Caenorhabditis elegans: one gene and its partners. The protein of the gene in region 3 interacts with the protein of the main gene of each other region in a pairwise test. Each region holds a gene or a part of one and is shown on either strand. Other genes may lie near its edges.

Evidence for each region.
Region 1: the proteins of szy-4 (region 3) and ephx-1 interact in a two-hybrid assay, tested with the Caenorhabditis elegans proteins (one large-scale study listed by BioGRID).
Region 2: the proteins of szy-4 (region 3) and bath-30 interact in a two-hybrid assay, tested with the Caenorhabditis elegans proteins (one large-scale study listed by BioGRID).

Annotation. Positions count from the first base shown.
Region 1 is NC_003280.10:4,000,544-4,011,331, forward strand, and holds the start of ephx-1 (SH2 domain-containing protein), read left to right. Parts: upstream 1-4,370; coding exon 4,371-4,474; intron 4,475-6,198; coding exon 6,199-6,288; intron 6,289-6,337; coding exon 6,338-6,547; intron 6,548-7,348; coding exon 7,349-8,135; intron 8,136-8,218; coding exon 8,219-8,317; intron 8,318-9,100; coding exon 9,101-9,194; intron 9,195-10,452; coding exon 10,453-10,530; intron 10,531-10,788.
Region 2 is NC_003280.10:3,341,847-3,351,751, forward strand, and holds bath-30 (BTB domain-containing protein), read right to left. Parts: upstream 4,533-9,905; 5' UTR 4,526-4,532; coding exon 4,404-4,525; intron 4,355-4,403; coding exon 3,958-4,354; intron 3,912-3,957; coding exon 3,764-3,911; intron 3,721-3,763; coding exon 3,443-3,720; 3' UTR 3,372-3,442; downstream 1-3,371. Other genes in the region: F14D2.11 (Ubiquitin-like domain-containing protein), read right to left, coding at 1-98, 148-225; F14D2.15 (BTB domain-containing protein), read right to left, coding at 547-669, 716-867, 921-1,059, 1,106-1,313, 1,368-1,532, 1,579-1,691; bath-28 (F-box domain-containing protein), read right to left, coding at 1,940-2,137, 2,179-2,686, 2,734-2,811, 2,869-2,973, 3,048-3,088; F14D2.14 (FBA_2 domain-containing protein), read right to left, coding at 4,974-5,223, 5,274-5,380, 5,436-5,519, 5,568-5,669; F14D2.8 (F-box domain-containing protein), read right to left, coding at 5,728-6,010, 6,069-6,161, 6,887-7,111, 7,159-7,265, 7,313-7,402, 7,459-7,494; bath-29 (BTB domain-containing protein), read left to right, coding at 8,413-8,534, 8,583-8,979, 9,026-9,173.
Region 3 is NC_003280.10:6,194,546-6,206,003, reverse strand, and holds szy-4 (Suppressor of ZYg-1), read right to left. Parts: upstream 7,309-11,458; 5' UTR 7,215-7,308; coding exon 7,112-7,214; intron 7,062-7,111; coding exon 6,973-7,061; intron 6,928-6,972; coding exon 6,757-6,927; intron 6,712-6,756; coding exon 6,450-6,711; intron 6,402-6,449; coding exon 5,894-6,401; intron 5,828-5,893; coding exon 5,681-5,827; intron 5,635-5,680; coding exon 5,374-5,634; intron 5,327-5,373; coding exon 4,768-5,326; intron 4,717-4,767; coding exon 4,597-4,716; 3' UTR 4,390-4,596; downstream 1-4,389. Other genes in the region: G-protein coupled receptor daf-37, read left to right, coding at 1-57, 505-558, 1,049-1,303, 1,585-1,853, 2,597-2,712; C30B5.17 (Kringle domain-containing protein), read left to right, coding at 3,020-3,110, 3,156-3,554, 4,004-4,110, 4,153-4,389; C30B5.2 (Vacuolar protein sorting-associated protein 55 homolog), read right to left, coding at 8,076-8,198, 8,285-8,468, 8,512-8,587, 8,754-8,769; rbmx-2 (RRM domain-containing protein), read left to right, coding at 9,069-9,247, 9,295-9,424, 9,551-10,150; cpb-2 (Cytoplasmic polyadenylation element-binding protein 2), read right to left, coding at 10,872-11,060, 11,112-11,458.

The DNA of each region.
Region 1 (10,788 bases), 2.2 Mb from region 3:
TTTTTCCTTTCAGTGAATGTGTGTTTTTTGACCGTACAATGACCACTTTCACCGAAGTGTAATCAGTATGTTTTCCAAATTGAAACTGGTTTGAATGCAATTGGTACTGTCTTGTTGCTGCCCTATCTCCCACACTGAATCCCTGATTTCTCTTTTCAATTGTTCAATGGATTTTACAAAGTACTCTTTAAATTATGTCGTGTGATGAGATAAGTTGACAAATCTTGACCTTATTAATTATAAAATTTTGTTGTTTTTTTTAATTTTAAGTTGAAATGTTTTGTGTGGAATGTCCATAATTTTATCCTGATTTTGAAAACAAATTGTCAATTTGTTCTGGCAATTTATAGTTTAAAATGCGGTAAATCTCAAATTGACACTTTAATTTATATTTGCGCTTTCATCGTTTGTTTGTTTGTTTATTCGAAATTTGATAAAATAGCAACAAAATGTAATACATAGAAGATCATAGGCTTAAGCTGTCTAACTCAGTCTGCTCCAGGCCTGCCACAGGCCTGCCTCAAGCATGCCTACCTAGATAATGTTTACCACTTTACATTCACTTGTTTACGTGAACTTTGACCGTAGGTACCTGAAAAGCAACGAGGCAGATGTAGGTCGCCTTATTAGATACAGGCAAGCCTAGGACCAAGGGTGCGCGGCAATTGCCGAACGGCAATTCTACAAAATGAGACGGTTGGGCATGTTTCCCCGATCTTTTTTATTAAAATTTGATGATACAATATAGAAAAATATTTTCTCTATCTGAAAATGACTTTTATTTGACTTGAAACAACCGAGAAAGTGTTCAAAAATTGTCCGAAAGCTGAAAATTGCCGTCAATTTTTCGGAAATTTTTATCGGCAATTTTCAACTTTCGGACAATTTTTGAACACTTTCTCGGTTGTTTTAAGTCAAATAAAAATCATTTTCAGATAGAGAAAATATTTTTCTATATTGTATCATCAAATTTTAATGAAAAAGATCGGGGAAACATGCCCAACCGTCTCATTTTGTAGAATTGCCGTTCGGCAATTGCCGCGCACCCCTGCCTAGGACGCCTTAGAAACAGGCAGGTGAGGTCACCTCGAAGTCAACCAGGCGTCGATGTAGGTAACCTCTAAGGCAAAAGGGCACTTGTAGGTCGTCTAGAATACAAACGTAGGTAGGTCTGAAGGCAGGTAGGCGTAGGCCTGCCAAAACTGTCTGTATTTTTTTAAAGTAACTGTGTTCTGAAAATTCTTCAAAAAATGAGTATGAGAATGCCTAAAAGACTTAGAAAATTTCAAAAATATTTTAAATTCCAAAAAAGAAAATTTCAGAAAGTTCCCAATATTTTTCTTTTCCGAATCCTCGCTTTAAAATGGGCGATAAAAATCTCCAAAACGTTTTTTTTTCTTTCAAAAAGTTCAATTTCTCGCAATTTCCCGCCTCCCATATATCTTGTCACCTTTGGCACCGAAGCGAGCCGCTTCTCTCTCAAAAGTCAATTGATATATTTAATAGAGTGCAGCGGTAAAATCTTTACACATTTCGTACGAGAGCACTTGGCACTGGGACATTGTAAATTGAACAGGAAAATAGAAATAAAACTATTATAGATTCGCAACAAATAGTCCAATTGACCATCAAATTTTAATACAATAACCACCGAATTGTCTTCCAGCTGACTGAGCACCTGTACGGAAACGATTTGATTCTTTTGAGAACGAGGAAAAGGGAGTGTGAACTTGTACATTTGCATGTCGTACTACTACATTTCCTTTCACTCTCTAAATCTCTCGTCTCTTCTACTATAAATCCCTTGAGGGTTATGCAGAAAGACCAATCCCCCCTCTCACTCGAAACCTCTCTTTTACACAATCGGCGTGGGCTGTTTACTTTTCATTAGTATCAACAACAGTGTTTCAGTTTTCGGTTCTTTTGAACTTTTATTTTGATTTGGAGAATATTTAGTGCAAGCACGTGGTGTCAGGTTGCCCCATTACAATTTGATCTACGAAAAATGCGGGTAATTTTTTCCCAAAAAATGTGACGTCAGCACGTTTATATCCATGTAAAATCAGTTGAAAAGACAGCGTCTAAATTCCCGCAATTCTTGTAGATCAAACCGAGATGGGACATCCTGACGCCACGTGGGCAAGCTTATTAAGCTAAATTTGCTTTTTGAAAATTTTTAGAATTTTTCGTTTTTTTAAGAAAAAAATTTGACATTTCTTTAGACATTTGTCTAAAGAAATTATGATACAATTTTTAGTTAAAAAACCCGATTAATTTCCAAAAAAAATTCCAGAAAAGTATAATCCCTCTAGAAATCGATAAAGTAGTCAAATATCTGAAATTGTCTTCTTTCGGAGCTAGCTTGAATATTTTTGTCAAAACCTCAAAACTTTTCAGAAAAATTTACACAATATTTTCGTACCTATAGAATTTCCAGGAACACCTAGCAGAATTTTTTAAAGTTATTTTGATCAACTAATAATTCAAAAAAAAGTTCAAAAACCGGAAAGTGTTCGAAATCATTCAAGAATGTGTGTTGTGTATCTGTGATTGTGCAAATAGTCTTTTGTTACGCTCGTTTGAAAGTTCAAATATTTGATTCTGTGTGGGAGGTCACGGGAGCACAACACCTTTTAAAATAGTAGCTAGAAAACTAGTTTTAAAACTTCTAAACTTTAAAAAAATCTGAAAAGTTCTAGTTTTGACCTTTTTCAAATACCAACCAATTTCACTTTGTCATGGCTTTTCCGTATGTGTCACCCTTCCCCTCGGAACAATATTACTCTCGACTAGCAAGCTGTTCATCAATCAAATTTCATGAGTTATGAGCGTAGATGCCATTCTGCGCTTTGTAAATACGTAAAATTCAAGGGTTAGCTTTTTATGCGATTTATACTTTTTTGAAAGTTTTGAAAGTCTGAAAATTTAGCAAAAATTCAAAAAGAAGGATATGCTTAAAGCCCTAAGAATTTTTCGTTTTAACCTTGAGGATTGGTCGAAATTTAATGAAGGTCGAAGAGAAGTCTGAAATTTTGGAATTAGATACTTAGATACTGGAGACGAGCCTAAGCATAGTCCTGAGCCTAAGAATAAGCCTAAGCCTGAGCCTTTAGACTTTCTTGTGAAGCCTGAATCTAACTAGTAACCCTCCTAATAAGCATGAACTCTGAGGTAGAAGTGGTGCTCTTGAAGCATAAAAAAACAAAAAAACTCAAGTGCAATATTGCAATATCCATTTCGTAGTCCTCTCGAATGTCACTCACCCATCAACATTGTGCTCGCGGTCAGTAAATGCAAATTGCAATCCTTGCCTCCCGTATGTTTTTCACACATTTTCCTTATCCATCTGCGTCTCCTCGTCTCCCGATTCTCGCGCATTGACCACCACTGACCATGGTCTCGCAGGAGAAAAGGCGCTTCCTGTCGTGTGTTCTGCTCATTGTGCAGCACTTTTGAAGATTTTGCAAAATGCATATTTACTAGGAGAAGCTTTGTATAAAAATTTCACTTACCATTTAACCTCACTTCAGAAAAAGAAATGTAATTGACCCCCATTTTTCAAGGTTTCTTTGTTGTTAGAGTCTATTGTACTAACTTTTTTTATTCTTTTAAGTACTTCACACATTTCTTTGGCAAATTGGAAAAATGTTGAAAAGGGGGTCTGTATTAAGTGCTGGTCTGGAAGTAGCCATTACATAGCTGAAGCAAAGTAGCCGAGACGGCTAGGTCGACAGACTAGTTCTGTTCTTTCTGAATAAGCTTTTAAGAAATATTTTTATAGTTTGCTTCTAATTGTAATGGCGCTCGGCAGGCACTAGGCATGCACTAGGCAGACACTAGGCAGGCAGAAGGTAGGTTCTAGGCAGACATTAGGCTGGCACTAGGAAAGCACTCTGTAGGTCGTAGATAGGAAGTGCCAAATAGGCACTAGGCAGGTGCTAGGCAGACACTAGGCAGGCACTAGGTAGGCATTAGGTAGGCCCTAGGCAGACACAATGTAGGCAACCCCTCCTCGGCTTATCATTCCCAAAAGCTCTTGAAAAGGAAGATGTTTTTTTCATCATGAAAATTTTTTCCGCGATTTTTTGGGGAAGTGTGTATGTGGTGCGCAGTATAAACATTCGCCCCAATCATCATCAATATTATTGTGCTCTTTTTCCCACTTGCTCTCTCGGGGGGCTCCACTCACACATTCAAATGTTGAATCAAGCGATTAACCCATCGAGAGTTGTTGCATGCATCTCCTCTGTTTTCTTTTCCTCTTTTTCTCGCTTTTTTTGAAAAAAAAACTCTATTTTTAGATTAATAAAACATAATCAAATAAATATATGAAATTTACAGTGTCTGGGGGTAATCTGAGCCAAAATCTAATGTCCAATGCACCATCAACGACGACATCAGAAGCCCAGAAGATCGCGACAACGACGACGACGACGAAAATGCGATTGCCCAGTGTTAAGGAACTTGCCAAGAGGTAAGACAGCATTTTTTATAGGATTTTGTAGAGTGTAGAGATATTTTAAGGTTACTGTAGAAGTGGTACTATAAGGTTTTTGGGGTACAGTACTGCAGGGTAGTAGGGTATAGTAGGGACACTGTGGGGGTACTGTAGGAGTACGGTAGGAATACTGTAGGGTACTGTAGGAGTGATATAGAGGTATTGTAGAAATACTGTAGGGTGGACTACTTCAGGGGTACTGTAGGTACTGTAGGAGTACTGTAGGGGCAGTGGGAGGCTTTCACAGATGTAGTGCCGGTAAGGGCACTGTAGAGGAACTGTAGGAGTACTGCAGAAGTGTTGTAGGAACCTGTTCGACTATTTTAGGAGTACTGCATAGGTACTGAAGGGACAAAATGAGGCTTTTACTGTAATAACATCTGTAGTACCAGTTTAGGGTACTGTAGAGGAACAAATTGGAGTACTGTATAGGTATTGTAGGAGGATAACTGTATGGGTACTGTATGAGTACTCTAGGATAACTGTAGGGGTACTGTAGGAGTACTGTAGCTTTTTCCCACTTTGTACGTGTCATCGTTGCTTATTTTCAGCCAAACTTTTACCAAACATTTATTTTTGAAAAACTGTCCCCGCCTGCTTGTTGACACATAGATTCTATCCATTTTTTCAAAAAATATTTATTTAAGTTTAATTTTGGCAGCTCATATCTAAGTTGTCATAGTTTTTTATCAAAAAGTTCTTAACTGAGAAAATCTTGGTTTTAAATTTTCCAATAGTTTTGCAATTGACCAATTTTGGATATTTTTGAATTTCACCGGAATATACATAAGCTGCCAAAGTGTAGAACACAAAATTTTCATACCAATAGAATAACCAGCTAGAAAATTAACTTTTCTCTTGTCCTATGCTTCTTCGTTTAAAAAAAAAGTTTTTTGTTTATATGTCTGCAATTCAATTTCTGTATGATTGTCAAACAAATACTACTTTTCCTCCTCCTTCACACACTCACTCCAACACAGTTGTTCTCCAGCCAACAATAGCAGCACATTACCCTTCGGTTGATTGACATAATATATTGAAACCGGACAGGAAGAAAAACGGTTGAAGAAGTAAAGAGAGACCGAGGGCGTCGTCATTTCTTCCAGAAGCTTCTTCGTGGGAAAATTGTTGGAGTTTTAGAGATGGTTCGGAGAAGTTTGGCAACTTTTTATGAAGTTTTACTCTAATATCAGCTCAACTTTGAAAGCTTAAAAAAGCATTAAAAATGTTCAGAATCTTTTGGAAACTTTCTCCAACTTTCACCCAAACTTCAACTTTAGGATGTATATTATTTGGAATTTACCATCTCCTAGCTTTAGCGCCTGCCTGCCTAGGAACCTACCTACCGCATCCCTCTCTTCATTAGTACATCTCTGAAGAATTTCCAAAATGTGTATGTCTCCCCGCTCCCCCTGCCTTATCACCATCATTTTATTATTATTGTTATCAAATATTCCCACCACGCCTCATCACTGACCACTCCTTTTTACGATATGGTCATTTGGAGAGATTGTTAAACAATTTTTGAGTTTGCCGAAACGTTTCGTTTTTTGTAGTATTATAGAATGTAAAATTTAAAAAAAATTGCGCCAACCAATCAGCGACGTTAGCCACGCCTATTAGAATACGCTGATTAGTCGGCGACTTGTTGAATTTGCAATTTTAAAATTGATCTTCCAAAAGCTATTTCCGATTTCCAGATTCGAAACCAGCACAAGCCGAATTGAGCACCACAAACCGGTGATCTCCAAACGAATCGGCAAGTTCCGGGTAGTGGAAAACCTTCACGAGTAAGTAATTTTCCTCTTCAGTTTTGCTCTTAATTTGCTTGTTTTTCAGGCCGTGCACATCACGAGTGCTACGTGGAAGCGCCATACCGCGACGGAAAAGTTCGTTGAAACGACGAACGCGGAGCAACTCGGAGCTCGCCGTCCTGGTCACATCTTCTGAATTTCGGAAGAGCAAATCCACTGGCGACTTTTCACCGACGGGTGCCGGAGCATCGGGTGCTCCAATTGTGATAACACCGCTACCTGCACCTAGATTACGGTAGGTGAAATGAGGGGTACTGTAGGAGTACTGTATGACAACTTGAGGGGTATTGTGGATTACTGTAGAAGAACTGTGGGGGTACAGTAGGGCTACTGTAGGGTATTGTGGGATACTGTAGATTAATGTAAGATTACATCGTGGGTACTATAGGAATACTGTAGGTATTCTGTAGGGGTACTGTAGTAGTACTGTAGGGGTACAGTAAGGTTACTGTAGGGTATTGTGGAATGCTGTAGGAGTGATGTGGGGTACTGTAGGGGTAATTTTAAAAAATAATGTTTTTAATCAAAGTTTTAAAGTTGTTCTGAAAATTTTCAGTCTAAAACTTTATTTTAAATAATTTAGTTTGAAATACTATACAAAAATTGAACTTTTGGCAATTTTGAAGCTTTATAAATTTTACAACAATAATCTTTTACAACAATATCTTCAAATAAAATTTCAAAAAATTCAAATTTAAAAATTTCAATTCAATTTCTCTTCAAAACATTTCAGTTTCCAAAACCTTCCGGCTTTCAAAATCTTGATTAAAGTTTTGAAAAGTTACTTTTTTTACTTCAATAGAATACAATTTTATAAAAATACAAAACAGACAAATTTTTAAATAGTTCTTTATAAATAAAGCAAAATTTCAATGAAACCACTTCGAAAAACCATTAAAAATTTCAAACAAAAAACTAATTTCTAAAAAAAACTTTTTTTTTCAATTCCACCCACAGTGACTCATTTTTCGAATGTTTCAAGGTTCTCTATGATTCACGAATCAGAAATGTAAATAAGAATCCCTTTCTATTTCAGTCTTCAAACAACAAGCATGATTGTTGAAAGTTCCCCTTCTCCATCTTTCCATTCCAAAAAAGATGGTCACCCAGTGTACGAGGAGCGGTGTCGAGTGTCCTTAACAATTCCAATTTCTTCGTCAGAAGATCTTTCCGCTGTATCTCCACCACCACCTCTACCATCTGTACCTCCGTCTAAGGAGAGGATCAAGAGGATTCCTTCCTACCTGAAGCCTACTCCCGCGCCGAGGTCTATGTCTGCCACGCTGCCCAGGGCTCGTCTGAAGACCCCACCACCTCCACCCCCAGTTACCAATCAATTTGACACCCTGCCGGTCAGTTTCCGGAGCAGCTCAACATCCTCCAGCACAGGAGGTCTCCCGAGAATCCCGAATATCCCCGTCCCAGATGTCCCTTTTATTCCACTGGATGACGACAACTGTTACGATGAAATTATGCTGGTCACGCCATCATCAAACACATGTATACCTACACATCAACGTCTAGAATCCGAGTACACCTATGAATCTCAGTCTACCGACTTTTCAAGGCCGGAGCCTCCTAGAGCCTCCGGGTCAGAGCCCAATTCAAGCAGACGGGCTTATCCTCGGGATGAGGAAATCTTTGATGAAGCTGAAGAGGAGCTTCTGGAAGAACAAAGATTTCAAAAAGTGCCGGAAATCAAAGAGCGCTTCCTTTCCTCAACTCTCCAAAGGAATCCAAAATCCTCGAAAAGGATGAGCTCAATGGAGCTGGAAAAGCTGTTCAGGTTCAAGAGCGAGTTGCAGCTTAATTTGTCGAAAAAGGTTGGTGCTTTGTTTTTTTTGTTCCTTTTTGGGTATTCAGAAAACAAAACAAGAAAGACAAATCAAACTAATTCTGATTGAAGGTTAGCCAATTACGGCAGAAAGTCGGCGACAAACAAGCGAAGAGACGATCAAAGTGCCACGTCAGTGTTGATCTACTGGACACTGATTTTAGTTCTATGGTGAGTTTTTTGAGAAAAAATATCCAGAAACTAAAAAAATTTATTTAAAAAAATTTGAAGTAAGTTTTTTGAAAATAATTTCTGAAATTTCTAGGCAGTTTTTTAGAATTATTAAAAAGGTTTACTCTAAATTTTTTGAAGCAAATTTTTGTTTATTGCATTTTTAGTCAATATTAAAATTTTTTTAATAATTTCCAGGAATTTGATTTTTCATTAAAGTCTATTTTTTTCTGAAATTTCAAGTCAGTTATTTCAAAATTCTATAATTTTTAATTGAAATTTTTATAGATATTCTGTAATTTTCAATCAAATTATAATATAAAAATTTTTGGAATTTTTTGTCAAAACTTTAAAGTTTTCATGACACCTCTGATTAAATTTTTTACCTGGAACTTGAAATTTCTGGTCAAATTTTTTACATGTTTTCTAAAATTCCCAGTTAACATTTTAGTAATTTTTTTAAATAGAAATAGTAGAAAACTCCTTAGATTTTCTGAATTTTCTGGTCATAATTTTTTTGGAGTCTATGAACTTTAAGCCAATTTAAAAACGGTTTTTGAGTTTTTCTGTCAAAGTTTTAAAGATTTTTTTGAGTTTTTCAGGAAACATTTTTAAATGATTTTCTGAATTTTTTGTTGGATTTTTCGGTTGACGAATGAATTTCCAAAGTAAAAGTATCCAAAAAATTAAATTGAAATTTATGTAATTTGTTTAGGCAAATTCCGGAATTATTTCCATTTCCCTTTTTTCACATTTATTTGTTGTAATTTTTGAATTTTCCAGATGTCAAAATCGTCTTGCGTTGACAAGCCGTTCCAGGATGACGATCACATTTATGGGGATGATTGGAGCAGTGATGATGATGATATTTATCACGGTAAGCTTTTGCTAGTTTACAAATTCTTTTTTCCCCTTTTCCCTTCACTGGTTACCTCCTACCATGTCCAATTGTTGAAAAATCATGTCAACGTAGGAATTATGATCTTAGTTCCGGTGGTTTTGATTTCATCCTACTATTCACAAATGCTTACACTAAATCTATTGTCAGGGAGGTGTCGTAAGCCTACTGTAATACTAGGAATTTGCTTTTTTTGTAATTTTTTTTTTCGGAAAAAAGCCATGCAGAAATTCACAAAATACTCGTATTTCCAAGATGGAAATTGAAAACCTAATAATGGAATTATTCTCGAAAAATGTTCAAATTTTCTGTGCACGTTTTTTTTGTTTTTTAAATGATTTTTTAAAATTAAAATTGGCATAGATAAAATCTTTTGAATTTTTCAATGTCCTCAAAAATCCCGAGCTCTTCTAAAGCATTGGCTAAATTTTGTTAATTAACAACTTTTTTGCAAGCTCATGGTTGGAAAGTTTCGAGCAGCCGACACTTCACTGGTTTATATTTCATAATTAAATTTCTCATAGTGAGTAGGCGTCAATGCCTGCCTGCCGATTTTCTGTTAAACTCTGGTGTTTGGTACATGCTAGCAGGCACAAACTGCCTAACTTTGAATTTTACAAATTCCAATTAAAATTGGTACTCAAGAATGCCTTTTGTTCAACATTTGTTCAAACTTTTCAAATTAATTTTTCTCGAAACAATTGCAACAAATTAGCCAAAAAAAATAGTCCTTAAACTGTGCTAGATGATTTGAAAAATTGGAAAAAATCCTTTCAAATTTTAAAAATTTCTAAAAAACTATATCTACATATTTTTTAACTGCCTCGAAAAAGTTTTTCAACTATATGCCAAACCCAGATTTCCAGCTATTTCTTGCCCTTCCATCCCCTCTGAATCCGACTAGTAGTACAATCGGAAAACGAATAGTCACACACATACACCCAGAGACACACAACTTTTTTAATAATATCCTTCTCCTCCTCTCACCTTTTTTTTCACTTACCAAAACAATTCCTTCGCTTCTTCCGTTCCTCTGACGAATTGCTCATCGTCGTCTTCTTCACACTCTGTATACATTACGGCAAATATTGCAAAGACAGTCAGAGAGAGAGAGAGACTGAGAAAAACAAAAAAAAAGAACTGCACTTTTCTCGTTTTTTTCCTTGCTTTTCGAAAAAGGAGAGAGAGAGAGAGAGAGAGAGAAATGAAATTGTTTTCCCATATTACATATTTACAGATGACCGTCGCTCTTCTATGTACCGACAATTAGAAGAACAGCTGAACAAGGCGTTTCCGGACTACGTTTGTCGATCCCGTGAGTTACTGAATTTTCAGCTTTTTTCAGTTTCTACCTAGTTTAAAAACATTTATCCTGTCTATTAGAGAAATCTCAACACACTTTTTTCTGGTTAATTCTGAAATTTCCAATTAACAATATTCTTTCGATTGTTCTATATATTTTTAATAATAAGGTATTTTTACGAAATTTGTTGAGCATCAAGTTGAAACTACTGAAATTTATTCTTATTTTAAGCCAGAGGTCAGGCTTCAAAGAGTAGTGTATGAAATTTTC
Region 2 (9,905 bases), 2.9 Mb from region 3:
AGAATTGAAGTGTTAATCTCGTCCTGAGCATCTTGTCGCTTTGAAATCTTCTCGCAACATTTTTGAACTTCAATCAATCGATATTCTAATGGCGAAGTCTGTAAAAAATGAAGAATTTAAATTTAAATCAATCCGAATATAACTAGCCGTGAGTGAAGAATGACTTTTTGAAGATTCCTGGCGAAGTTTTTGAAATTCAGACATCAAATCTTGCTTTTCAGTCATTTTTGCGGAGGATCGCTGAAAGAACTTTCAGTTATTGAGAATTGCAAAAAAAAAACGGAAAAAAATGTTTTTTACTACGGTAGATTCCCGAATGTGCAGTGTGTACGTTACAGTCACTATATTTGACGCGCAATTCTTGGAGTACGGTGGATTTTTTGCTTTGAAATTGAAAGTTTTTTCCTGATATTTTCGGATAAACTTGCTTTTTTTCCGACAAAAATTCAAATTCCAAGCTTCTAGTAGTTCAAATTTCTCTGTAATGTCGAAGAGTGATCATTCATTAAAACATTGGAATATACATTTAAAAATCGAGGGAAAAAATCAATGAAATTGCAAAGATCTTCGGAAAAGCTCGACTATTGCAGTATGATGAATGGTGAGAACGTCCGGTGGAAGCATGAGACGAAGAGCCGTCGATGTTTTGATGTTTTCAACGCAATTCTTCTGAAAATATCGATTTTTCATTGAAAATCCCATAGAAATTACTAACATTAAGCTTCTTCAAATGGAATTTATTAGATAACTCGAACAATTTTCTTATTGATTTGCTCGATTTATCGATTAAAAAGTTCTCGCAAGCCGTAATAATTCTCTCCGTCTCGAAAAATTTACCGAGAAGCAGGATTCCTTCGACGAAATTATCTGAAAATTGGGGGAAAATTATAGATTTTTTGCGATTTTTCTGCAAATCACACCATGAATAGTAGAAAATCCGTACAAAATTTCCAGATATTTCTGAAAATCATCTGTATCCACATCGGGAAGTTGAATTTCTGAATCCAATGTACATTCTTTGAGGAGATTTTTAAAATATGGAGAATGCAGAGCGAGGTGCTGAAAAAAAACAATTTTTTTTCGATTAATTGGAGTAAATCGATACCTGTTTCAGAACATAAAACCTCTGTCCTCTCACAATAAGCACTGTATCAGCGAACCGTCTAGTGACGTCACTACCGAAATCCACACGCTTCTGGAAATCATGATAGCCGGTCATATCGATAATTTCCACGTGTCCTTCGATGGAAAGGTATTTTGAATAATCCAAATTGCTCCATTTGAAAGATTCGCAACGATTGGAAGTTGACGGTCTGAAAATTTGGAAAATCAGCTATTTTTATAGATTTTCCGCAAAAAAAAACTACATTTCAGCATCGCTTTTGCTTCCAGAAAACTTGAAATTCTCTGAAATTACTCCATGATCCGATTCGACACGAACATTGAAGTTTCCATGAAAATTAGTGGATCCCGTTCCACTTTTTCCCAAATCTACGTAGAGAAATTGATCATCACGAGTTACGCGCAGCCACCTGGAAATAAATTCGTTAAAAATCGATTTTTAGGGGAAATTCCAACCATTTAATACCGAAATGATCCTCCTCTTCACTAGTATAATGCTCTGTTTTCTTCATGAGCCAGGTTTTTTTTAAATTGAATCGCAGGACGAATTCCTTTTTTGAATTGCTCATTTTGTGACGGAGATCTGAAAAATAATGGTTTTTAGCTAAAAATTCAATTTTTCCGATTAAAAATCGCAGAACTTTTTTTGGTTCTTATGAGGAAAAGCCTGGAAAACTGATATTAACTTTAAAAATAACGCAGAAAAATATATCTCATCGAATTAAACAATAGTATTTTAATATAAATATTTCTACAATTTTTAACAACAAAGAGTATTAATTTTCACTCAAGAATTAACAAAATAACAAGGTTAAGATTAACAATTTTTCTTTTCGACTTTAAAAAACTCTTTGCAGATTGTCAAAAGGAATTCATCGCCGTGGAACTCCTTAATATCAGAAGTACGAAGATAACCAAAATCGTAGACTGGGACGAAAACTCTCGCAACTTCCGGTTGAATTGATTGATGAGCCCAAATTACGCCGCTTTTGAAGTGAGGAATATTCATGATGATCTGAAATAACATATAGATAATTTTCAGATAATCGATTTTGCCTGCTTCCACTGTTCCATCTCGAATAAGTCAGTTAATCGATAATTTCGTGTGAATGGCGTGTTCGCGAGATGCAAGTACCACGAAATATCGATTTCCTCAAGAACACCTGGTTTGAAGCGGGACAGGAGGAAAATGAAATCGCTGAGCTCGAATCCGGATAGCTTGAGCATTTTTGTGTGAATCGGGTTGCTTGCTTCGAACCACTTCACAATATTTCCTTGTTCCATGGTAGCGTAGATCACGAGCTTGTCCAGCTGAAGTCTAGGATTCTTCAGCACCACAGCAAGCTCATCCAAAAGTCCATTCAAAGAAGTAAACTCAGATTTTTCCGAACGCTTTGTGCCTTTAATTATGCCTCCAGAAACCGTCATACTGTAGAAAGAAGACTGACTATTCGCCCAAAGCAAGCACATATCATCAGTGACGCGAACCTCGACGGTCTTGAAGCCTGGATCGGTGGAATCGATGGCATCGCGCAGTTTACGGCACACTTTGCGGACGGAAAGTCTGAAATTACTATTGATTCTATAAAAATCCATAGTATTTGATTGTACCGATTGAATGGATCCAGATTTTCCACAATTTTGCCGAGCACTTCCATTGACATATCCGACAGAGTTGGAGGTTCTGAGCTGAAATTACAAGAATTTAGGTATAATATTGATTTTTTTAAATGGATATTTACATACAAGAATGTTTCCGGCGCCGTTTCCATCGACAAATCGGATAGCGAAGAATCGTCGGAACTATTGATCGGATCCAGATTGTCAGGAATCAGCGTTGGCGCGGAGGAGCTGAAATTAAGACAAATTTTAGTTTAAAAACTGTTTGGAAAATTTTTCACCGGTGAGCGGTGAAAAAAACGAACATTTTAATCGAATCCAACACGTTCGCCAATTTATCCGCCATTTTCCGAGCGATTTGGTTGAAATTTGTAGTTTTCTGAAAAATAAGTGAATTAAAGTGTACAATTTCATTGAAAAATTCTTTGAAATTCGCGAAAAATGAAAAAGAACTCAAAAAACAACAAATTATCGGAAAACTTGCTCACACTAATCGTCAAATTAAATGCCAGGTACGCAGTTGTGTATTGCGTACTTCACCGTCTACCGTAGTCAGATTAAATAGTTTTTTTTTGATATTCAACTAAAAAACCGTTTAATAAAACGAGATAAAAGCCAACAAAAAAATTAAGAAGCACTAGAATTTATTAAATGGCACATCTGAAGCGAGTAAAATGGATTTTGTTTGATAAAATACATATTATTTCATTAAAGTGAGTGATTTTGTGAAAAGAGCCGCCAACGTAGAGTGATCGATGCTGGAAATGTCCGATGGGATCATAGAACGAAGATCGAAGGGAGATTTGATCATTGAAATGCAGAATTGTTTCAAATTCTCCAAATTAAACTTTATCGCCATTTGTAGCTTCTTCTTGTAGGTTTTTCCGGTGGTTTGAATGAGAAAATCCTCGCAAAGCTCGGAGACAAGCGGCGTTTGGTACATATCAGCCAGCAAAAGGATTCCTTCAACAGTATTATCTGAAAAAAACTATTATTTCAGTGAAAAATCAATAGTTTTTACCATTAATAACCGGAAATCCGTACAAAACTTCGAGAAATTTCTGAAAATCGTCTACATCAATGTCGTAGAGAGGCACTTCGGTAAGTTTCGCCTCGTAGAAACCGCCGAGGAACAGGGATTCGAAGAAAGTTGAATGAAAGGCGAGGAACTGGAAATTATTTTGATTTTAACGTTAAAATATTCAATTTTTGAACTTTTTTCAGCAAATAAAATCGCTGTCCATCCACCAAAACCACAATATCCGAGTATTCTTTCTTTTTCTCATCGAAATTCATTAATTTCGGCGTATAAAATCCAATTGATTTATTAATAATTACACGGGCTTCTACAGTGATACTTCCAGCATCCATAAAGCTTGTTTCCAGCTCATTCCAGCTAATAAACTCGCTCCAGCCGTACGAGGAGTAGAATTTTCCAGAATCGTGTCCAAAACACATGTCTGTCTTGCATTTTTGATCCCTGGTGTCAGAGTAGACTGAAATAAGCTTCAGCTCAAGCTCCGTGAACATTGACCACATTTCCTGGCCTTTAAGTTTCCTACATCGGAGATAAATGCCGAGATTTCCGTTGTTTCGCTGAATTTGGAAGATCCTGAAAACATATTTTCACAATAAATTAATTTTTTCTTGAATTTAATTACCACGGAACATTGAAATATTCCTCCACTGTGCTGATTCTCATATCATTTTCATTCATATTTGATACATCGTTAAATACATAACGGATCACGAACTCCTTGCCAGTGACTGAGCTTCGGCTCATTTTCAGTCTGAAATTGGTATTTAAATGGTGCGAAACAGAGCATTTTTGTTTTACAATATGATTTTGTTAAGTTTTAACAATTAATTAAATAGAAAACTATTGAAAACAAAGGAAAACGAAGCGAAATGGAAATTCAAAAAATAGATTTTCGAAAACTTGTTTCACTGACTACGGTAGATTTTCGTTTCTGCATAGTGTTTGCGTCCTACACACTGGATTTCACGCGCATTTCTCGCACTGCGGTAGTTGATTTTTAAAATTAAAATTACACTTTTTTATGTGAAAAACAACGTAAAATGTTCGTGTAAAAGCTCTATTCGTCCCAATAAGCCCAACCAAAATTTTACTGGCCGTTTTCACTTTCATAAAGTACTTCAACACAACAACTTTATTCAACAAATCAACAAAAGAAAACAAAATAACAACAACAAAATTAGAAAAATCCAAATCAGTCAGAATCTGAGTTGTATTGATATTCATATTCGTCGTCAGAAGAATAGTCGCAATCTTCATCTGAATCGATGTCAGTCCAGATCGGCCAATCTTCCTCAAAATCGATATCTTGAAGATTCGACGGAATAACTCGACACGAGACTCCCCATTCGAATTCGAAATCGTCCCTGCAACACTTCTTGACAAGAATTTGCTTGGCAAGGTTGTCGGTGCGAAGTCTCAATCCTTGATGGTCTTGGAAATTTCTGTAAAATAGAAAATAATATATAAACTGTTGCACTAATGGAAGACTCACACAACACGGTCTTTGAAACAACTATTGACCAACGACATTACGTGGTCAGGTTCGTACGATCCTTGTCGGAAACGAGTTCCAATTGCAGAATCACCCGAGATGAGCCGCTGAAAGTGATTTTGATTTTTATTAATTTTTCCATCAAGAACCAATTAACGATACCTCAATTTGAAAGTTCATAAGCAATTCACGTGAGCCGTACATGCCGCCAACTGTTGAGATTGTCACCTGCTTGCAGTTCACAATCTGAAACATTTTACAGGTGAAATTTCGTTGGAAACTGGAACGACCTACAATTGGATTTTCGACAAGCTCCTTCATATCAGTCGTTTCGTTGTTGTAGTGAATAATCTCGACAGATTCGAGCCCATTGCACTTGTTCAGAACATAAAGCATTTCGCTTGTGTTATTCGAATCGAGCTTCAAGAACTTGACATTCAAAGATTTTTGGTTCCTATAACGGGGCGAGCACTTCGTTGATTCCTTTGTCTGAGTCTGTTTGGATGTAGAGCTTCTGCATGGTTCCGACATTGACAGCATAGAGAAGACGTGGAATAACATGGCTTTTGACAACAGATTCGGTGTCGCACACATCCAATTGAGCATTCTCCTTGTCAAGAAATGTAGCTACAAGACTTTTCGAATATCCTAAGATTTCGAAATATACTTGATAAAAGTGAAGCTTCTCAGAGCCCACGAGATTTTTTTCTTCACTGGCAGTGTAGCGGAGGTTGAATCTGAAAATTATTAAAAGAATAGAAATTTACAAGATTTTCAATTAGGAAAGTGACTTACCTCGTCTCGAAATCCATTTTTTGAATGCATTGAAGTTTGAATTCCGGCGGCAAATCACACCAATTCGTTTCGTACTCCGGTTCGCCCATTTTACTGGAAAATCAATAATTTATAATTAATTGGTGTTTTTAGAATAACAATAAAAGCAAAAAAAATAACGTTTTCGCACAATTTTCAACCAGGATTCTGAAGAAAAAGGTGAAAAATAGTCAATGTACCGTACTCTACGAAACTTCTAGAAGTGCGCGTGAGATGTGATACATTGTGTGCGAACACTTTGCGGACATTGCGTTCTACCGTAGTCTTCTCAATTTCGGATTTGGAAAACTCTAATGGTGCGTCCATAGTCTGCGGAAAACGGGAATTTCCCGCGTGCGGAAGCGTCCATAGTCTGCGGAAAAACCGGAGTTCCTCGCTTTTTTTTCCTCAAAATTCAAAAAAGTAGGCGTGGCAAACCAATCAGCTGTTGTTTCTTGTTTTCCCATTGCTCAGTTTAAAATTTTACAGCCTCTAATTGGTTGAACACGCTCACTATTTTGAAATTGACCAATAACAAAGCGAGAAACTCCTTGTTTTTTCCGCAGACGCTTCCGCACGCGGGAAATTCCCGTTTTCCGCAGACTATGGACGCACCATAAATCGATTTTTGAAGGTACAAAAGAGCTGAAGTGAAACAGTATTTCGAAGAAAAATTAACGAGATAACAAATGATGCTTTAATGGAAAACAATAATTCAAAACAATAACAAGATTAATTAATCAGGTAACCATAGCCATTCTTCTTAAGAAAATAGTGAATGATAGCTGTTCGAGTCATACCAGTCATCCCATTCATCATAATTTCTGATCGGCTCTCTATCCGCATCGGGGTCGTTATCATTCCAGCCTGGCCACACGGCAACAAATCCAGTTTCGTGAAGATCCGAAGGAATGACTTGACACAAAATTCCCCACGCCTTTGAATATCGATCGCATTTTGTGAGAAGAATGTGTTTGGCAGGATTATTAGTTTGAAGTCTCAATTCGTCGTTTTTCTTGAAATGGCTGTAAAAAATCAGTCATTTTAATGTTCGGCATCAGGGAACACTCACACAACACGATCTTTGAAATTTGTGCTCATCATATCCATACATTGATCGGCATCCCATTTTTTGAATCGATAATTTATTCCAATTGTTGCATTATTCGAAATCAAACTCTGAAAGTAATATTTGTTGGCCTTGTTCGCAAATTGTTGAAACAAACCTCAATCTGATAGTTCACGAGTAAATCCATATTTTCTGGGTTGACGGGATAGTACCATTTAGAGAAAGCCACATTTTTGTAGTTGGAGACCTAAATGATAATAATTATTATTTGCAAATACAATGGAAATCGCTTGTCGAACTAACAATTAATGCTTCGACAAGCTCTTTCATATCATTCATATCATATTCATTTCTTTCATATCATATCGTTGTCCCTTTGGTCAGTTTCAATAGTATTCAGTTGTTTCTTGTCACATTTTTCCAAAAAGAATAGAATATCGTTGTTGCTCTCCAAGCCGAGATGAAGGTTTTTGACATTCAATGAAATCGATCCCGTAAATGGAGAAAGTGTTTCGTTTAGAAGCCGTTCGGTGGTATTCCAGATGTGAAGTTGTTGAATTTTTCCAACTTTTAAAGCGAAGAGAAGACGTGGGAGCAGTTTACGTTCACTGCACCACCCGTCAACGTGTAGATCAGCTTCTAGCTTTCCAGTAAACGTTACTTCGAAATAAATGAAATTCCAATTGATTTTCATCAATTCAAATGAGATCTTCTGGGAGTCCACGAGGCGCATCTCTTCGCTGGAAGTGTATCGCAGGTTAAATCTGAATATAATTTTTAATAAGTTATTTGGTGAAATTTAGATAACCTCGTTTCGAAATCCATTTTTTGAATGCATTGAAGTTTGAAATCCGACGGCAACTCGGGCCAAAGTTCGAACTTATCCAGTTCGGTCATTTTCCTGAAGAAAAAATAGATTATAAACGTATTTTTAAGGAATAAATGTCAGGTTTTAAAACGTTTCGCAATAAAAATTCGGCCAAAAAACGATAGCTTTAATCGGAAAATGAAAAAAAAAACCAGTTAAAAAATTTTATAAATAAAAATACCGTAGTGCGAGAATTGCGCGTGGAGTGAAGTGTGAAGGACGCAAACACTTTGCAGAAACAAAAATCTACCGTAGTCAGTGAAACAAGTTTTCGAAAATCTATTTTTTGAATTTGAATTTCGCTTCATTTTCCGCGTTTTTTTTCAATGTTTTTCATCTAATTTTAATTTGAAATTTAACAAAATTTTAAACTTAATTTCAGGCTGAAAATGAGCCGAAGCCAAGTCACCGGCAAAGAATTTGTGCTCCGTTGTGTATTTAACGATGTATCAAATATGAATGACAATGATATGAGATTCGGCACAGTGGAGGAATATTTCAATGTTCCGTGGTAATTAAAATCAAGAAAAATGAATTTATTGTGAAAATATGTTTTCAGGATCTTCCAAATTCAGCGAAACAACGGAAATCTCGGCATTTATCTCCGATGTACGAATCTCAAGGACCAGGAAATGTGGTCGATCTTCTCGGAGCTTGAGCTGAAGCTTGTTTCAGTTTATTCCGACACCAGGGATCAAAAATGCAAGATAGACATGTGTTTTGGACACGATTCTGGAAAATTCTACTCCTCGTACGGCTGGAGCGAGTTTATTAGCTGGAATGAGCTGGAAACAAGCTTTATGGAAGCCGGAAGTATCACTGTAGAAGCCCGCGTGCTTATTAATAAATCAATTGGATTTTATACACCGAAATTAATGGATTTCGACGAGAAAATGATGGAATACTCGGATATTGTGGTTTTGGTGAATGGACAACGATTTTATTTGCTGAAAAAGGTTTAAAAATTGAATATTTTAACGTTAAAATCAAAATAATTTCCAGTTCCTCGCCTTTCATTCAACTTTCTTCGAATCCCTGTTCCTCGGCGGTTTCTACGAGGCGAAACTCGCCGAAGTGCCCCTCTACGACATTGATGTAGACGATTTTCAGAAGTTTCTCGAAGTTTTGTACGGATTCCCGGTTATTAATGGTAAAAACCATTGATTTTTCACTAATGGGGTTATTCAAGTAATGTCGGAAAATTAAAAAGTGTATTTAAATACATATTTTGCCTTATGGGGTTATTCAAGTAATGTAGCAAAATGTATTTAAATACATTTGTGACGTCACAAATGTATTAAAATACATGTTTTTATGTATTTTAATACAGTTGTGACGTAATTTTTCTACACTTTTTAATTTTTCTACACTTTTTAATTTTCCGACACTACTTGAATAACCCCATTATTCAAGTAACAATAAAAACATGTATTTAAATACATTTGTGACGTAATTTTTCGACATTTTTCGACATTTTCCTACACTTTTTTACAGTAGTAAAAAATCGCGAAAAGCGCTCGAAATGGACAATCGCGGCGGGACCCATTCGATGAACAGTCGGTGTCCCTTTAACAATCGATATTGCGGAGGCCTTTTTCAGGGATTTTTTCGATTTTTTCATATATTTCGTTTGTTTCTCTTTAAAATCAGTTATAAAAAATTAAATATTGAGTTCTTCTTTCAGAATACAAGCGATTTTTACCAAAATTATAGGTTTTTACTGCCAAAATTAGCGAAAATGCCTGTTATTTAGCGAAAATGTCTAATACTTCATTTTACAATTTTACCCACTTGATTCTTGTTTCATTCTGTTTTATTTTGAAGAAAAACTTATTTTAATTCAAAAAACTTTTCAGTAATCGTCCCAATCAACAAGCTCACT
Region 3 (11,458 bases):
AATCATTGCTTACACAATTCGACAAAGTCTGGAAAAATACGACTTTCATAATCAAAAGTGAGTCAAATTTTCTGGCTTTCTAAATATTTGAAGAAAGGTTTTTGAAAAGTTTATATTATAATACAATCCTAAAAAAATATGATTTCATATAATTCATGCATTCTCTCATTGTATAATGTACTTCTATGTACGGCTGATTCTCCTTCCCCCGAAACCCGGTTATTCAAACATCTTGCATTTGGAATGATTGTACTTTTGAGATAAGTCTCACCCAAACTATGTCTCCCATTCCATTTTCTGACATGCTTTTCATGGGTTAAATATCAGTTGAACTTTTTGAACATTTCCTCTTGAATGCATACTTCCCCCAATGATGATTATGAAATTGATTCCATTAAAAACAGAATTGCACATCTCCGAAATCAGAACCTTTCCTTGCACCCACACATACCATGGGGTCTGATCTCTGATTCTCTCTCTTTATCCGTTTTCAACATTTTGCAGAAGCGTGGTGGCCGCCCTTTCAGCAAGTGTAAATCTTCCGCGCAACATCGCCGGGTACTGTCCGTCCGATTGTCTTTGCCATGTCCCTCTGTCGTCTTTTACTCTTCGCGGCTTGGCTCCCCGTCGTACTGTCGTTTACGATTGTTCGAGGGGAAGTGCCTCTTCAGTAGCCACGTCGCTTACGTCGCCTGAATCTTTCCGGTGCCTCTAAGCATGTTTCCAGTTATTTTTATGTTGTTATGTATTCAATGGGCATGCTGCCTCCAAAACACTTCTTACTTCTTCTCCTTCACTGCTGATATGCTGCTTTTACAGCTTCTAATGCTTCGCTTTTTGCTCCTTGGCTTCTTTAATTTTTCAGAGTTTTATTTAACAAAATTAAACATTTTCCAGTTTCTTGTCATTAATTTTTTGAGTGACGTGAAAGAGGGTCTCAAAACGGAAGAGCAATATTGAAATGGGATCTTCTCTTCCGTTTTAAGTCCTACTCAATATTCAATTTGAAAAATTGATCCTTTTCCAAAATTAATCCATTTCCTTCCAGAATTTCGAGTCGAAACGAATTGAAAGAGAAATCACGGGAAGCTACACTGGTCCTCGTTATTATTGTTTTCATCTTTCTCGGTTGCAATTTTTGGGGATTTGTGTTGACTCTTCTGGAAAGAATTATGGGACAGGAGACATTGATGGTTGAACATCATATATTCTACACGTTCTCTCGAGAAGCTATCAATTTCCTAGCAATCATCAATTCCTCAATCAACTTTGTAATTTATCTACTTTTTGGAAAAGATTTCAGGTAAGCGGTGAAAATTAAATTCTATTTCTGCAATTATAACAACGCAATTCTAAGATTCCTAATAACCACAAATAACCATAACCATAATAACCATGATAACCATAAAACCAATTAGGCTTTTGAGTTATTATTTATTTAATTTTAACTAAAATCTCAAATGTTGCCAACTTTCCCGTATCACAGCAAAATTCTTAAAATCGTGAAATCTATAGAAAGTAAACGTTTTTTAAAGATTTTACAGTTGATACATGATTTCACTTAACCTTTTTTCTCATTTTCAGAAAAGAACTAGTTGTGGTATACGGATGTGGAATCCGAGGAATCTCGCTGAGGCTTCCTGTTCAAGATAAATTTGTCATTTGGAGGCATTGGAAGCGAACAAAGTCTCGAATATCGATGAATACAACGAATCGAACTCGGCACAAAATATCTCTTCCACAGACACTTGTTGAGCATGCGAATTTGGAAAGACTCGAAGAAACTCGTTTCTTAGCTCATCATGAAGATGGTGTACAGACGCAAGTGTCGCCAATTCATGCTCTCAGAAATGGTATGGTTTTTTAAATTATTTTTATAAGAAACCAACATTTGAGAATTTTTTGATATCAAAAAATAACGCGGTTCAATATGAATAGCAAAACTTTACTTGGTTCAGAAGTTGGACAGACTAGGGCAAGGCTTTGTTTATGTCGCGCCCATGTTTAGATTATGTGTGCTCCAACTTGCCAATGACTTACCAAAGCTTAAAACGCCACAAAAAACTTGGCTGAAAGATCGGCAAGAGTTAAATCAAACTTCTGCAAAATTGTAACACGGCCCAAACCAAGTCTTGATAAAGTTTAACCCTACTTTTTAACTAATAGTAAGTTACAATTTTTGGTCGAGTCTTGGGAAAAAGAAACAATCTCAATTGAAACGAGAATGCTCTTTTTTACTAGAATTTAGTTCTTACTAGATATCCAAAGCTAGGTATACAAATGTCTAGTAGGAATTCTGATGTCAGAAGTTATTTTTGAAATATGAACGCTCTAGAATGCAAATCAGGGGAATGAGTGGTAACTAAATTTGGTCAAAATGTTATGGACATCCGGAAGTTTTATTTGGCAATTCATTCATATTTTCTAAATGTTATTTTTCTATAAAGTATCAATGTCTAAAGTGAAGAATTTATGTGTCTAGCCAAACAAACTTAAAATTCAGCTATAATATATCATTACCTGAAAAGCTATAATAGAGAAGGATCATCTTCGGCCTAGCCTTCTATAACTAAAACAAATCTTCATTTCTTTCCAGGATCGACTCCAAAAATTGATACACTACAAGACTTGACATCGAATGGAAGACCGTGTAAAACAAGCATAATCGATGATAATGGAACTGTTGTGTGTACAGTTACAGAGTTCCCATAATTTTTTTAAATGAAAGAATATGTATTAATTTGAAACTATGTGCCTGTATTGTTAACTCTTATGTTTGCTAAATTCTTCATACGGTTGTGATTCAATAAACTTGTGAATTTCTTATTCATGTTTCGTTACGAAATTTTACATTTATTAAACGAAAATCTTACAAATAGACGACAAAGTGAGTAATGATTAAAAAACACATCTGTAACATTTGGAACGTGTATTTCCAAAATGACGGAAATTTTAGGGGAAACCGCGTTGTAATGCTTTTTCTATAAAAATTTATTTATCTTTATTTAACGCTCAAAAAATGAAAATTCTTGTCAATATCTTGATTTTAATCAGAATAACGTCTGGAATGTTATATGACGGGAAGTATTTCGACATGAAAGACCGAATTCGTAAGTACATTTTCTATTTGTCATATCTCAAAATTGAACTTTCAGGTGCTGAATGTATTATCAAAAAAGCAATGTCTGATTATAAATATCTCGGAAATAACGACAAATCAGTCAATGGAGAACCATGTGTTCCATGGATTGAGGTCACAGAATCATGGCTCCCCACTGCGAGTGATTCTCAGAAAATGAAAAAACAAGCTTCGGAGAGCTTCCATCATTCAAAATGCAGAAATATTAAATTATCAGTTGTTAACCCAATGTACTCTGTTTCCACGCCATCTGCAATTGAAACTGGCATTCCTTCCGGTATCCATGGTCCATGGTGCTTCATAGACAAGGTTGGAACTAATGGTACAGAAAGTTTCAAGTACACTCCCGTCACTTGCTTCAATTATTGCGATGAGACAAAAGTGGCAACGGACAATGAAAAAATGAGATTGACAGGTACGGTTTGCCTGAATATTGTAATTCCGAGAAAGTTTGAAGCGCCTTATCAAAGGCACACGTTACTTTTCTGAATGGGTCTTGCCACGATCCCAGTTATGTTTATCAGACGCAAAAATTGCACCCAAAATACGATACCCGGTCTCGACACGATTTTTTTTGTAGAGTTCATTCGGGCGTGCGTCTCTAAAGAGTACTGTAATTTCAAACTTCCATTCCTACGGAAATTTCATCAATCGTCCATAGTTTTTCGTTCAAAAGAGTTATTTATCAAAAAAAACAATGAAAAATCGTTAAAAATTTAACAGAAACGAGATTTCGAAATTACAGTACTACTCTTCAAAGGCGCACGCCTTTTGGCATTTAACAAAAGTTTCGTGTCAAGACCAGGTAACGTACCTTTTGCACAAAAATCTAAATCGGTTAAAAAATCGTAGATCAATTTTTAGAAAATGGATATGCAATACTGAAACAAAACTATAATCCGGCACTCTTAGATCCAATCGAGAAACTTTTCACGGAGTATCAGTTTGGAAACATGAAGTATTATACATTTGTGAGTTGCTAAAATATCTTCTAAAAATATTGTTTTTTTCAGAAAAAGTCTCGTGAGCAGCCTCCTCAATATTTAGAACTTCGTCAGAAAGTTTTCATAGCCTTATGCCTCGTCTTTTGTGTAGTCATCGCCTGGATACTTTCGTGCTACTTCCTCAAGAAACATTCCCAAAAACTCCATCAAAAGAAGCAGAAGGCGTTGGAAGGATTCTATGAAAGCAACAACTTGGCAGATATAAAATTGCAAGCAGATTTGAGAAGAGAACGAGAAGAAGCATGAAACTGTATTCGATTTGAATTGATAATAAACAAATGAAAACAATCACATAATTGTGCGAATAACATGCATAAAAATGACAACATGAAAACTAGGAAAGTGCAGTACAAATAATAACATGACATACAGTATAATTGGTTAAAACAAGTGCAATAAAACGATAAATGTGGGAATAAAACAATGCAAATAGATTGGATGAGAAAACAAACATTATTCTTTCGGCTGTTCGTCACTGAAGTTTTGATTGTCCATCAGCTTCTCATCTTCCTCATTCTCATACTTCTTGTGTGATCTTTCGAACTCGCCAGTGTTGTAAACAGAAGTTGATGGCTGGAATGTTTAATGAATTTTGAACTGTAAATAATAATTATTACAAGTTACCGCAGAGGCAGAACGAGACCTCGACGTTTCGTCATTAAAATTGATTGGAGGAACTTTCGTGATAGGAGATGGGACAAATGATGTCAAGAAGGCTGACGGATCGGTGAGACGAACCCCAGAGTCTGGATGTATGTAGGTGAAATGATGGCCTGGCGTTTGCTCAGTGCAGACCACTTCGGATGCTCCGCTAGGGGTGAAATGCTCGTCAGTAGCATTCTGATAGACTTGGCTAGAATCCATTGGGAATGAAGGGAAATAACTATTCAGAGCATAGAATGGTGTTGGACTGTTGAACTGATTGTTGTTGATTAGGAAATGCGGATCCGAGAAGAACATTGGTGGATGAGCGTTGATTGGATTCTTGAAGTTTGAGCTGTCCATCGAACTGAATGATTTCATAAGCGGAGACACAGGTGGTCGAAGTGTGCTTGGAGTAGACAATGTCCTCATCACATCTTGCATTGACGCTACTGGTTTGAATCTTGATTCATCCTCAAAGACTTCATCGTCAATTTGACCATTTATTCCTTGCTGACGTTCACCTTCAGAATTGACGGACCTGAAACATTTAATAATGTTTTTAAGAACTTGCATACAAGATCTCACTTTGCGAATCCATCTGTACTATCTTCGTATGTCTTCAAACCAATCCATTGCAATGACTCACTATTTCTTTCAGATCTGCTAATACCAATTCTACACGTCGATGGGCCCTCAGCATTCGCTTCCATGCTGTGTTTCAATTCGTCATAAGTAAAATGGCGAGACCTCTCAGTGAGAGAATCAGAGTGGGTCCTCGTATTTTGATATATTGTCTTCGGCAATTTCGGTCTCGGACGCTCTTCAGTTTCAGACATATCAAATTCTCTGTAAAAAATTTAATTTGAAATTAGTAGGATATTTTTTTTGAAACCTTTTCAGAGAAGCAAATGATCTGCATTTCTTTTCGACCTGTCGTCTTTTCATCCTAATTGCATCTTGCTCTATTTTTCTTTCGTGATAACTAGCTACAGCATTAGCTTGTTTGCGTGGTGAATTTTGTTTCAGGATCTCTGGTACTCTGGAAGAAAGTATATAAATTGTAACATATGCAATTTATCATTGTATTGAACGTTAGGCAACTTACACATATGGTCTGGGATCTCTGTAGATAAGTGTGTCGTCACTCCGTTTAATAAATCCAGCAGGAAGTGGAGGTTGTGCCGAATTGGCAAAGGCTATCCAAAAATCATTTTGTGATTTTGCTAACCCAGCATCAACTGCTTTCTTGGAGTACGGGCAATTGGCGAAAAGCGGCAAGTCGTCCATCGTCATAGGAGGCGGAATTTTTCTCATAGATATGAGTGTTTTAATAATGACATCTTGAAGTTCAATAACTTCTTGTGGATTGAGCTCCTTGCTGATGTAAAATAATGTTCCTTGTTGATCCTCTTCTACATGTTTTTTGATTCTCACACGTTTATTAGCAACAATATCTCGACGAAGTTGATCTGCAAACTCTGAGAAGACAATCGCACGATCCTGGTTCGCCTTTCTCATTCGGTCGGTGACCGATAAAGACTTGACCGACTGATCCTTATTCCGATTATCAATTTTTGGTATATAGACGCGTTGAACAACAAACTCTTTGCTATCTGAAATATGAAAATAATGTAATTATGTTCTCAAGTGTTATTCGTTACCATCATCAGAAAACTCTCCAGGTGAAGTTTTTCGAACTTTATGTGGTGGATGATAAATCATAGTACGAGTTGTAGCATCGCCAGAATTATCGACATCTGACATACAATTCCCGAATACTTTTCTAATGGATCGAAATGTTTGGCATCCTTTGCGGTTGCAGCGGTATGCTGGGTATTCGCGTGCTTGTCCACGATAACGAGTTCTCCTCAAACACAAGTTCATCATTTCATTGCAGAGGTGACACTCGATAGCTACTGGAATCTAAAAATAAAATTTGCAAAAAAAGTTATGAGCTCTAGATCGCACTCTATATTTAATTCCTCGCACTTCCACTTCGCAATTATCGATTCCATCATCTAATACTTCGCAAGCATCATCGTCTTCAATAATTGCACGGAATACTGAATCTTTATCTTCCAGCCCGCCCTCATATATAACGTCATCAGCTTGTTTCGATAGGGACTCGTTCGCATGATCCTAAAAACAAAAATTATGCATTTTTCTCTTCATTCAATCACAAACCGATAGTTGAACTCCGGAGTTTGCAGATTCTTCCCGATTTTGAGAATCACATCCACACATGGCAGGCAATCTTTCTGGGAGTGAGCTATCTGAAAGTAAATAAAATTTATCCATAAATTTTAAATAAAACTAAAGATACCATTTATTGAAGGATTATTGGCGCTCATTGAAGTCTTCACGGTTTTATCTTCCGAAGCACTCGAGTTAACGAGACTTTCGGAGGGAGAATTGTCCTTGTTCATAGTTTTCAATTCATGAAATTTAACTTAAACAAAATAGAAAAAATGGGATAGCACAAGATTGATCAAGCAAATTTGTTGATGACAAATGAAAAATTTTTAAAAGTAGCGCGCGCACAATGCTGTTTGGAATCACCCAACGAGACCTTAACAGAAATTTGGTGAATGTTCCTTTAAATTTGCCAATGTTACGGTATACCGTATCAATTAAAGTTTATTTTTTTTGAGTTTTTAATTGAAAGCTTATAAAAGCACGATATCAGTTCTGACGAATAAGTGAATGAAATGAAAATACCGTGAAATATTCAATAGTTCTCCTGCCCAAATACATGTTAGACATTGAGGAAGGCTGTATCAAAATCGAACGCAAGTTAATTAAACTATAACGTTCATAACTTTTGAATTTCATGAGTTGTAATTACATGAAATGAGCAAACGCTCTGAGTTTAATATTGTAGTTTCCAGAAATTAATTACAGTTGGAAGTCTAATACAGTTTTTATTTTGGTAACTTTTATTTGCCAAATTTACAGAACAATTCTTTATATTTATACAATGTTTGAGAATCCACCGAGGAAAGTGAGAGTAACGAAGTAGAATATAGGGAAAATCGAAAAAGAATAAGTTAGGAGATGATGACCAGACGATTGTTACCACAATGACATCCCATTCATATCCTCGCCGTTGAAAATGCGGAAGTAAAAAATGATGACGCTAAAGTTGATTGAATTGGCGATGAAGATTAGGAAGCACGCGGACATCGCTATCTGAAAAAAATTAACATGTTGTACAAGGTTTAGCGATAATTGAAATAAATAGACGAACCACAATTACTTGACAAGAAATTAATAGTGAAGTGAATGATTTAGAACAGAGACTGGCTCCAGCTTCCACTGTCGTCATCACGATGCAAGTAGAAATATGCAATAATTGTACCGAACATAATCACAGATCCTGTATTGACGAGGAAGCATGCACTGTTTGCTATCTGAATTGGACATTTATTCATGCGTTACATAAACTTATTCACATCATTCCACATTTACCCAAAATTTGATCTTAAATTATACTTACCGTTCCTGCATGTGCCAGCACTATCGGAAGAGCAAAGGCGGAGATGACAATTCCAGTGGTGATGAAGAGAGCTAATTCAATGCATGCATTTGTTCCAGTCATATCTTCTTGGAAGCGTCTGGCGATGAGAAGTGGTACCGGCGAAAGAACGTAGAATGTGATAACAAACATTGGGGTCCATGTTCTAAAAAATGAATATTAGCATTTTCAAGACGTTTAAAACTAACCCGTACCTAGGCAGGGCACATCCAAGAACGAGGAAAGTGAGGCCAACAACTCCGGCGAACGCCAGTGCAGCAACAGCTAAAATTGTATTTTTCATAGAGCAGCAATCGAAACACTGTATATGAATATGACAGCACATTATGAATCTTTCAGGGAATAAAAATTATCAGAAGAATGTTCAATTCAAATAAGCGTGGATTTAAGAAAATATAAAACTTTAATTTCACGTTAAAAACATAAATACCTCGTACTCCTCCCATTATGAACTCGTGTCTTGAAAACTTATTTGATGAATAAATCCAGGTTCCCTGAAACAAGTTATATGACCGAAAAGATAATTATTACACAAAAACAAAGAGAAAAATCGATGCAAGCAACTGAAGACAGAAATGGGGAAAGCGCGAGATGTGTGCATTCTGACGTCGCTGTGTTTGCAGACTTTCGACCGTACCCCTTTTCAATTTACGAAATCTAGTTTTCTCTTTAATTTCCATTATTCCGTGTTGCGATCTTGTTTTCAGTTATATTTCACTGATTAATTAACATTTTGCAGTAAAACATGAATCCGATTACGAATATCAAAAATCAGAACCGTATGAACGAGCGGGAGCTCAGTTTGGGTTACGCTGGAGATCTCAAAAAATCGTGGCATCAAACTTACAAAGATTCTGCCTGGATTTACATTGGTGGTTTGTCATACGCACTTTCAGAAGGGGATGTTATTGCCGTTTTCTCTCAGTGAGTTTTGCAAAAAATTGTTTCTCAATTTATAAAGTTCTTTTCAGATATGGCGAAGTTATGAATATCAATTTAATTCGAGATAAGGACACAGGAAAGTCGAAAGGATTTGCTTTTTTGTGTTACAAAGATCAAAGAAGTACGATTTTGGCAGTGGACAACTTCAATGGAATCAGCGTAAGTTTTTAATTCATTTAAAAAAAATGCAAAGATGCTGATAGAACATTAATATAAAGCCTTTTTCAAATTTTTCAAATAAAATCGATCGTTTAAACGACAACAAAAATAGTATTTTGTTTTCAGTTACACAAACGAATGATTCGTGTAGATCATGTGGAAGAATATAAAGTCCCGAAATACAAAGAAGATGCCGATGATGAAACGAAACGATTATGGGAAGAAGGATGTGCTCCAAAACCAGTAATGAGAGAAGCAGCACCTATGGAAGTTCAAGAACAGAGAATCAAGAAAGCCAAAGAAGTATTATTAGATATTGGAGATGTTGATGAAGAGTTGCTGAAAAAAATCAAAAAAGATAAGAAGAAAGCAAAAAAGGAGAAGAAGCGGGAAAAGAAGAGAGCAAAGAAAATTCGAAAATTGGAGAAGAAAGCTGCAAGAGATCCAGATGGGGATTGGAATAATAAAGCCAAACTTATCGATAAAGTTGTGGCTGAAGATGATTTGTATGGTGAGAACAAGCACTTTGATTTTGGAAAGAAGAAAGAAGTTGAAGAAGTTAAACATAATCCAAGACCAGATTTTGAGAAAGCTGATTGGAGAGATATTGAAATCTGGAAAGTCATCCGAGAACGAGAGAAGGCAGAGAAAGCAGCAAGAGGAGAAACATCAGAAGCGTGGGGTCCAGAGGATCATTATGTGTCAAAAAGATATCAAGGAAGATGAATATTTGTTTTTTCTCACTTTAATAAATTTTTATTTGTTTTTTTAAATCGTCAACTGCCATGGCATTGCAATTAGAACCAACTTTTGTGGAAAATTAGTTTTGTCGAAAATACACACACCCTTGCAAAAAAACTCACAGTCTAGTTGGAAAGTACAGTATACCCATTACAATCCAAACTATCTTATTATTTCAATCACACTTCCCCATGTCTTCCGAAGCTCTCAAAAAGTACAAAATCTCAGTATAAAGTGATATTCTAGTCGTAAAATGGTACTCGTGATCGAAACTCTGAAGCTTCTGTATCCGAGAGTATTTCGAATTTTACTTCCTTATGCACACACCACGTTTCAATTAAATTGCTCAAAAACGTCTCCGAACACCACCAATAAATGCAACAAATTTTGTTGTGATGGGAACATCGAAATCCACAAGGAACATTGAATCTGCCAACAACCATGGAAACGAATTAACTAATTTTTTTTTAATTTTCAAAACAGAAACTTGAAATTTTTGAATACATCAACTACAGTACGCCGTAGTAACATACTCGAGTACGGTAGCTATGAGATTTCGGTCGCTTCAAGACCGGGTTCCGAATTATTCGAATTTCCAAAAAATCGCAGAGACTAGCAACTTGAATATAAATCTTTATTAATTCAAAAGTAGTCAAATTACATGAAAATACGAGTTAAAACAAATTTATTTCAAAGACATTAGTGCTCAGACTCCCTTGACAACTGGCATGTGATGGAAACGACTTGGATGCGAATGCATTTTGTGCCAACACGGCTCACAGTAGTACTGGAAGCACTCAAGAGATGGACAGAAGTATGGAGCATGTTGACGATGATAACGACCCGAACATTCCTCGCAAGATTGGTTGTGAAAGAAGTATGGCTTGATCTCCACCTGAACTTAATTTAAATGAGATTCTCAACAATATTAATGAATATTCAATACCCTCTTGTGAATATCCTCATGATCCAGAACAATATAACGATCAGTGATTGCTTGAACGTACGCATCGTAGTCAGAGAAAGCAACACGTCCGGATCCACGTGGATATTTAAATTTATTGTCGATATCAATGCCAACACACACAACATGCCCATAAGTTTGCTCGAAGAAATGAGCCAACTCGACTGCTTTCAACGGTCTCGGAACACCACCAATAAATGCCACAAGTTTTGTGTTGATGGGAACATTGAAATCCATAAGGAACTCAGCATCTGCCAACAACCATGGACGAATCTGCACACGAATTGAATCAGTCGAACTTTCCAAAGTGATGAAAAGTCCTTCTTCTT